Macaca fascicularis: one gene and its partner. The protein of the gene in region 1 purifies or fractionates together with the protein of each later gene. This does not show direct contact. Links are inferred from orthologs where the notes say so. Each region holds a gene or a part of one and is shown on either strand. Other genes may lie near its edges. The genes, in order: PNKP and XRCC4.

Region 1 (4,202 bases):
GTCCCTGACATGCAGTTAGCACCCAAAGCTTTGCTCCTGTTTTTATTTTCACGATTAGCAGCCCACCAAGGTGGAGAAGGCCAGGGGAGGAAGGAGGCTGGGTAAGACATTAACCCCCATTTTAAAGACTGTAATCCTGGGGCCGGGGTCATGAGGAGGAACAGGAGACAGGAAGGTTAAGATGTCAGGCCGCACTCAGAGGCTTCACGGATGCTTGACATGGAGCTGTTCTGTGACTTGGTTTCCCCATCTGTGAGATGGCAGGGTTGGTGTGAGTCAGCCTATGAGTGGAGAGGGTCAGAGGTATCACAGTGCTGCTGTTCCTCTTTCCTTGGTGACACCAGGTGGCTGGCTTTGATCTGGACGGGACCCTCATCACCACACGCTCTGGGAAGGTCTTTCCCACTGGCCCCAGTGACTGGAGGTGATAAGAGGCAAAACAAGGGAGTGAGTGAGGCCTGGAGTCCACCTCTGGCCCCGGGTCACCCCTCCCGCTTCCTACCTGCCCTAGGATCTTGTACCCAGAGATTCCGCGTAAGCTCCGGGAGCTGGAAGCCGAGGGCTACAAGGTATGTGCAGCCGCCTGTCTGCATGGGCGCGTGCAGGTGGCGGTCCGACCTCAGGTCAGACCAAGGTCCTGGTGAGCAGGCGCCTCGTGACACTCTCTGCTCCCCAGCTGGTGATCTTCACCAACCAGATGAGCATCGGGCGCGGGAAGCTGCCAGCCGAAGAGTTCAAGGCCAAGGTGGAGGCTGTGGTGGAGAAGCTGGGGGTCCCCTTCCAGGTATGGCTGGAAGGGAGGCTGGGAGCTATGTGGGGTCACACAGATCTGGAGAGAGGGCTTCAGACTCCAGGATAAGTGGGGCAGAGGCCTCAGGCGGTGTGATGCTGATAAGAACCCATCATCAGCTACAAATTCTGTAGCTCTGCTTGGCTGGGTGAGGGCTGGGGTAGCATCCAGTAGGTGCTTGAGGAGGAGCTGAGGCTGGTGGCCCCCTCCCATCCACAGGTGCTGGTGGCCACGCACGCAGGCTTGTACCGGAAGCCAGTGACAGGCATGTGGGACCATCTGCAGGAGCAGGTGAGTCTCGCAGTCTGCCCGGCTTCCCTCCTTTTCCTCGCTCCAGCCCCTTACTCCTGGGCTCCCCGCTCTCCGGCCAGGTCCGGGCTTCCTTACTCCTCCTGTCCTCCCTCGGACCTGCCTTCTGTTTTTTTGCTGTCACATCTTAGATGTTGGTTTACGAGACCAATGTTCTTAAACTTTCTAAATCAGAGTAGTAGAGAGGGAAGCTGTTCATTCCTTCCTTCATTCGTTTGTGTGTGCATTTGTTCTGAAGTTTAGCACGTTCTTGAGCTGAAGATAGCGGTGAGCGGGACAGCCTGCTCCAGCGGGGCCCGCACGGCGAGGGCCGTGACTCTGGGCGGATGGGCAGACTGGCGTGTAAAACAGTGGGAGGGAGGGAGGTGGAGAAAGCAGGCATCGTTTCAGCTGTGGTGGGCACGGATGGCCTCTGAGGAGGTGACATCCGAGGAAAAGGCCTAAGACAGAGGAAGGAGGGAGCCACGTGGACACCTGGGGAAAGTGGTTCCCCCCCACAGGAGTGACAGCAAGTGCAAAGGCCCTGAGGCAGCCCCTAGCCTGGGCTAGTTAGGGACAGGGAGGCCCATGCGGCTGGCCCTAAGCGAGGGAGGGGAGAGGGCAGGGCCACAGGGAGGGCCCCGCTTTTGCCCTGAGGGAGGGGGAGCCTGGGAGGCGCTGGCCCCCAGGAGGCTGGAGCTGAGGCAGAGCGGGCGCCCTCTGGTGGCCGCGTGGGGAACCGGCGGAGGCGGAAGCCGGGAAGCCTGGAGGGAGGGGGCTGCGTGGAGAGACCACAGGGCCAGGAGCACGGTGCAAAGTGGCTGGATGGTGGGGACATGAAAAGTTGGAGGATGAGGCCTGATGCGCGGCATAGACCAGGCGAAGCAGCCCCAGGGACCCGCTACTGCTGCGGCGGGACAGTTATGGGAAGGGCCTCCTCACTGCCATCTCCTGCAGGCCAACGAGGGCGCGCCCATCTCCATCCGGGACAGCATCTTTGTGGGAGGTAAGGGCCTGGAGGCTGCTGAGGGTGGGCTGGGACCCCTCCCTCCGAGCTGGTGGGGACAGTGTGTCCCGTGTGTTCCAGACGCAGCCGGACGCCCGGCCAACTGGGCCCCAGGGCGGAAGAAGAAAGACTTCTCCTGCGCAGATCGCTTGGTGAGGCCCCTGCCCGCTGCCCCGCGCCCGAGCCCGACCCGGGCCTGTGTCTGATGTCCGTTCTCAACCCCTAGTTTGCCCTCAACCTTGGCCTGCCCTTCGCCACGCCTGAGGAGTTCTTCCTGAAGTGGCCAGCAGCCGGCTTTGAGCTCCCAGCCTTTGACCCGGTGAGGCCCTGGGGTGGGGGTGGGGGTGGGGGTGGGAGCGGGAGGGCTCCCGGAGACGGGGACAGCGTCTCACGCGTGTGCCCCTCCCCTCGCAGAGGACTCTCTCCCGCTCAGGACCTCTCTGCCTCCCCGAGTCCAGGGCCCTCCTGAGCTCCAGCCCGGAGGTGGTTGTCGCTGTGGGATTCCCTGGGGGTGAGTGCCCTGCCCCTGTGCCCTGAGCCCCTCCGGGGTCCTAGGCCACCCACCGACACTGCCCCCCACACAGCCGGGAAGTCCACCTTTCTCAAGAAGCACCTCGTGTCGGCCGGATACGTCCATGTGAACAGGGTATGACTAGGCTTTGGCCGCCCCGAATCTATTCAGTTCCCATCTCCACCGCTCAACTAGTTTGGGGCGGCTTCCCTCCATCACTGCCTCCCCGACCCCGCTCTGGGTCTTCTCTCCCCTCGGGTCTCCGGATCCGTTTGTGACCTCTCGTGTCCCCAGGACACGCTAGGCTCCTGGCAGCGCTGTGTGACCGCGTGTGAGACAGCCCTGAAGCAAGGGAAACGGGTCGCCATCGACAACACAAACCCGGACTCCGCGAGCCGCGCCAGGTAGCGGGGAGCCTGCGATAGGGTGGGCGGGGCCTGCGGCGGGGTGGGCGGGGCCTGCACATCCAGCTCCTTCCCCCACAGGTACGTCCAGTGCGCCCGAGCCGCGGGCTTTCCCTGCCGCTGCTTCCTCTTCACCGCCACTCTGGAGCAGGCGCGCCACAACAACCGGGTGAGCCCGCTAGGCCCGGTCACCCCCCGGGGATGCACCCCGACCCCCCTCCTCACCCCCAGGTGCCCCCTCCCTCCCCTGACCCCTGGGCCTTTCGCCCCTTCTGATATCCCCACAGTTTCGAGAGATGACGGACTCCTCTCATGTCCCCGTATCAGACATGGTCATGTATGGCTACAGGTACTGTTGGGGACGGCAGGGGGGAGGGGCAATGGCGGGGCCACATGAGCCAGGCTGTCCCTCACTGTTCCCACCACTGCCAGGAAGCAGTTCGAGGCCCCGACGCTGGCCGAAGGCTTCTCTGCCATCCTGGAGATCCCGTTCCGGCTGTGCCTGGAGCCGAGGCTGGAGCGGCTGTACTGCCAGTTCTCCGAGGGCTGAGCCCCGCCCAGCTCCCCTACACAATAAATGTCGTTTCTCCTTGAGCTTGGCCGGCATTTTGCTGGGAGGAGGGGCTCCAGGCCTGGCAGTTTTTTACATGGATGGAGGCTTTAGGGACATTTTCCGGTAACAGAAGGTGGGGTCTTACAGAAGGGATTCCAGCTTTGCTGGGACCTGGCATGGGCATGTTAGACATTAGCCAGGGAACGCACAGGGCAGGGCGCTGCCTGGCTGCCTGAGAGCCAGCTGGTGAGCCCACAAGCCCCAACCCAGGGGCTCGCTCAAGGCCAGGTGTGACCCCTGAACTTGAACCCAGGGCCTGTGGATCTGGAGATTGCTGGGGAAGAGGGTGTGGGCAGCCGAGAGCCAGTGAGTTTGCAGGCTGTCCAGGCCTGCTGGGCCACCTTATGGCTAGGGGGCTGCCAGGCATGGGGCAGTGAGTAGAGGGGGCAGGCAGGTTTTTAAAAGGCTTTATTAGGGAAACGTAGAGGGGTGGGGACCATCCTTGGAGGCCTCAGGACACCATCCTCCATGTTGCTGGGCAGTTGAAGTCCCCAGGGGCCCCTGTTCAGAAGCATGTCACCTGGGGGCAGGGGTGCAGTGGGGGCTGCTGGCCACAAGCTCCCAAGCACTGACCCACATCCCTGTGGGCA
Region 2 (3,812 bases), on another chromosome or scaffold:
TTCCCCTTCTCTTTTCCTCTACTACATCTCACTTGTTGTAATCCTTTTTTCTGAAGAGTGAAAGAAGGCCTCAGCTTCCGTATAATTTAGAGCATTCTTGATTACTTTGTTCCAGTGGCCTATCGATGGCTTTAGCTAAATAAAATCTCAAATCTTAAAGGCAACCAGCTTTAAGCTGAAGATATTTAGCATAAAGGTGTATCTTCCTCATTGCTTATGCTTTTCCTGGTTATATTTAACCAGGAATAGTATACCTTGGAGTATATGTGTATGAATGCTGGCTCACATTGCTGTGCTAACGAGTTGCTGCATTTTACAAATAATATTAAGTTTTAACATTAAAAATTTGAGTCTTTAAAATAAAAATGCTAAAGAATTTTCATAGAATAAGGTTTTTCACACCATTTTTCCATTATGGTTTCTTGTCATTAGAGTAAGAAGCCCAAGTGAGATATTCAACAAAGGAGATAAATTTATATCTCTCTTACCTGAAGCCGACCCAGAGGGATCAGGTTGGTTTTCATTTTCCTCATCAGTACTCTCATCATAGACTGGATCTCGGTCAGCTGTCATTTCAGAACAGATTGTAGTTTCCCTAGAAACAGAGACAGGTAGAATTATAAATCATTGGCTCACCCCCTGCTAGGCAGCAAATTTACCAGTAAGTAATTATAGAAAATATTTCTGGAAAAAGATTCTAATTAGACAAACATATTGAAAATTTATATGACTTAGATGAAAGCATCTTAAAACCTATATATTAACTCTCTTAAGAACAAGTTTCTCTTTTACCCAATTTTAATCTGAATTTAGTACTCATTATAATTAATATTAAATCAGTTTCTTATCAGGTACTATTCTTCTATCAAAATACTTTTTTCTACCAAATTATCTCTGTGAGTCACAGGGTATTTAACATTTTACTAATCTCAGAGCAGTTCCTTATTTCATTTGATCTCTGCAAAGTCCTAAGATGGGTATCTTTACCTTTATTATGAAAAAAAAGTGATGTGTCCAAAGCTATAAACTAATAGGTATGACTGCAAGACCAGTACCTGTACTAGGACTAGCTGATATCAAATTTTTTTATACTATGTCACTAGTAATTCTGCACTTTTACTAAGATTCAAAGCAATAGACCCTAACGTGTATTTGCTAATGTGTAAAAAAGTTATAATCGTTGAAACCCATATCAGCCATTTGTCACTTACGATTCTTCCATAAAAATCAAGTACATATCTACTCTCAGAGAAAACGTTAAAGAAGAATAAGATTGGTAATCACACTGTAATCAGGTAAAATAAATGCTCCCTGGAATTTAATATTAACAACTTGATTCAAAAGTTAACTATTGCCTAGACATCAAGATTACAAATATGCATCCAACTTTGTAGTTCTGCAGATGAAAGGGTTTTTAAATTAATATTTCTTACTAATGTCTAAGAATTAAATAATACTTTAATAAGCCTCATGTCAATTTTTAAATTTAAGTGTAGGTGAGACAGTTGAGCAGACATGGAGCGAGCATGCTGAGAACTCTCTAGCCCATGGCACCCGTCTAACAGCCTGAGCATCCACATCCAGTCTACCAAATTATCTCATATGACCAAAAAGTTGGCACCTAATGTTCATTAACTTTGGGAAGAAATTCCACTTAAATTTATACATCTGTCATCCAAAAACTAGATAGCCAAAATACCCTTCTTGTTTGATGTCCTTTTCTTGTTCTTGAGCTGTATTTAATAATTTATTATGCAAACTTCTGATTTTTGTTTTCTTCTCATTCAACACCAGAATAAACCGCTTATAAAGATCAGTCTCCAAAGCTTCCTTAGCGTTCACACATTTTTCAAATCTGAAAAAGTAAGTAAACAAATTAGTCATGCAGTTCTGCTTACCATTAACATAATTCAATCTAATAATCAAGAAGATTTCAATAAAATTTTTCAAAGAAAATACAATTAAAGATTATTTTCACATATGCTTTCACTGACTTAAAAGTTTTATAAAGATGGTTAAATACACAATTAGAAATTATTGTTATTCATGTAATTCATGTACTGAGATAAGGATCAAAATTGAAAATTGATACAAATTAGCCTTTAGAAAATCAAAATGCCTAAAGATAATAATTTATTGACATCTATGGTTTATTTACAAAAGAATGTTTTTATGGGATAAATTTCAAACAAGAGTAAATGTAGCCTGTGTTTCCTCAGTACTATGTTAATATTACTATAAAAGCAACTACAATCTTGTTTTGTGATAAGGCAATACAGCTAATTTGTCTTGACTGCTCTACTAGACAATGAACTGCTCTACAACAAGAACACGACTTATCCAGTTATATTCTTATAAGCGAGCACCACACACACACACATACAAATACATATAGAAACACAATACACATATACAATGAAAGTATTCTACTTGATATATCCAAGGAGAGATTAATAAAACAGCAAATGTAAAACACTACGTATCTTCAAATGTAGATACCTGAGACAAAACATAAAATTCTCTATTGTTTATAATTCGTCCTACACTTCTCAATGAGCTAACAGGGGATTGTATTTATTTTAAGCTCCCAAGAGAGATATAAAGTAAAGAAAGCAAAATAGCTGAGGTTGTATATACTTAAAATGTGCACACGCATACATGATGAATACATTCTTATTTTAGAGATTCAAATACAAATTATTTTATGTATTCTTTTCAATGTCGTTTTATACTGCTTATTTACATTGTTGTTGTTCAATATACAAGTATCCTAGTATTTTTATGCTGTACATAAACACACACACACATATATACCAGTAGTAACATATATGTGTGTACATATACAGACACACACATATATATTTCAGTGAAATTAGAAACACAAATGTCCAAATTAGATACCTTTTATATACACACCCTTAAACTTTCAACAATCTACCTATCTAGAGATGCAAAGAATTCAAACCTCTCATAGGATAAAAAGGAAAATATGGCAATATATTCTCTGGGACCAATTTCAGCAAATTCTTATAGCATAGTCTTTGCCAAGGATGTGAACTCCAGGAAAGCAGAGAGCATGTGTGTTTTACTGGCCATGGTATCCTCAGTGCCCAGCATAGTGTTTAGCATTCTACAGAGGTTTGGTAGGTTCTTATCAGACAAACGAATAAAGTGAGGAAATTAATATGGACATCTTTTTGGTTTATTTGTTTTCCCAGGTTTACTGCTGATTTATTACAAGGCCTCAACAGTGCTTTATTTTTTCTCTTCAACATCCTATTCTGCAGCTTCCTTGGTCCTTTTTGCCCAGAGGCCAAAGAGCCAGGCATTGATATGGCAGGTTTTTGTTTTGTTTTGTGTTTTGTTTTGAGACAGAGTTTCACTCTTGTTGCCCAGGCTGGAGTGCAGTGGCACGATCTCGGCTCACTGCAACCTCCGCCTTCTGGTTTTAAGCAATTCGCCTGCCTCAGCCTCCTGAGTAGCTGGGATGACAGGCGCCCGCCACCATGCCCGGCAAATTTTTGTATTTTTAGTAGAGACAGGGTTTCACCATGTTGGTCAGACTGGTCTCGAACTCCTGAACTCGTGATCCGCCCGCCTCAGCCTCCCAAAGTTCTGGGATTACAGGCATGAGCCACTGCGCCCAGTCTGATGTGGCAGTCTTGAAGTTCTCTTCCTCTTGGTGATGACTCTGGCTTTCTCCTTCTTATAGGTATTCCATATGAACATTACTGGTCCTGTCAGTGTGATGGCCAATTTGAGTTCTTCAGTGTAGCCGTCTCCCTTCTTGGAGGCTGAGGTTCCTAGAGAAG

The links.
Region 2: the proteins of PNKP (region 1) and XRCC4 purify together in Homo sapiens (co-immunoprecipitation; 5 studies listed by BioGRID and IntAct, counting the BioPlex papers as one, with this or other methods). This does not show direct contact. The link is inferred for Macaca fascicularis from reciprocal best matches to the Homo sapiens genes PNKP and XRCC4.

Annotation. Positions count from the first base shown.
Region 1 is NC_088393.1:57,844,307-57,848,508, reverse strand, and holds the end of PNKP (bifunctional polynucleotide phosphatase/kinase), read left to right. Parts: intron 1-29; exon of another isoform or gene 30-344; coding exon 345-424; intron 425-502; exon of another isoform or gene 503-511; coding exon 512-569; exon of another isoform or gene 570-676; coding exon 677-784; exon of another isoform or gene 785-1,009; coding exon 1,010-1,081; exon of another isoform or gene 1,082-1,547; intron 1,548-2,035; coding exon 2,036-2,084; intron 2,085-2,165; coding exon 2,166-2,236; intron 2,237-2,310; coding exon 2,311-2,403; intron 2,404-2,498; coding exon 2,499-2,595; intron 2,596-2,668; coding exon 2,669-2,730; intron 2,731-2,889; coding exon 2,890-2,999; intron 3,000-3,080; coding exon 3,081-3,168; intron 3,169-3,286; coding exon 3,287-3,348; exon of another isoform or gene 3,349-3,431; coding exon 3,432-3,549; 3' UTR 3,550-3,593; downstream 3,594-4,202. UniProt on the Homo sapiens protein: Plays a key role in the repair of DNA damage, functioning as part of both the non-homologous end-joining (NHEJ) and base excision repair (BER) pathways.
Region 2 is NC_088380.1:87,128,017-87,131,828, reverse strand, and holds part of XRCC4 (DNA repair protein XRCC4), read right to left. Parts: intron 1,856-3,812; coding exon 1,700-1,855; intron 596-1,699; coding exon 489-595; intron 1-488.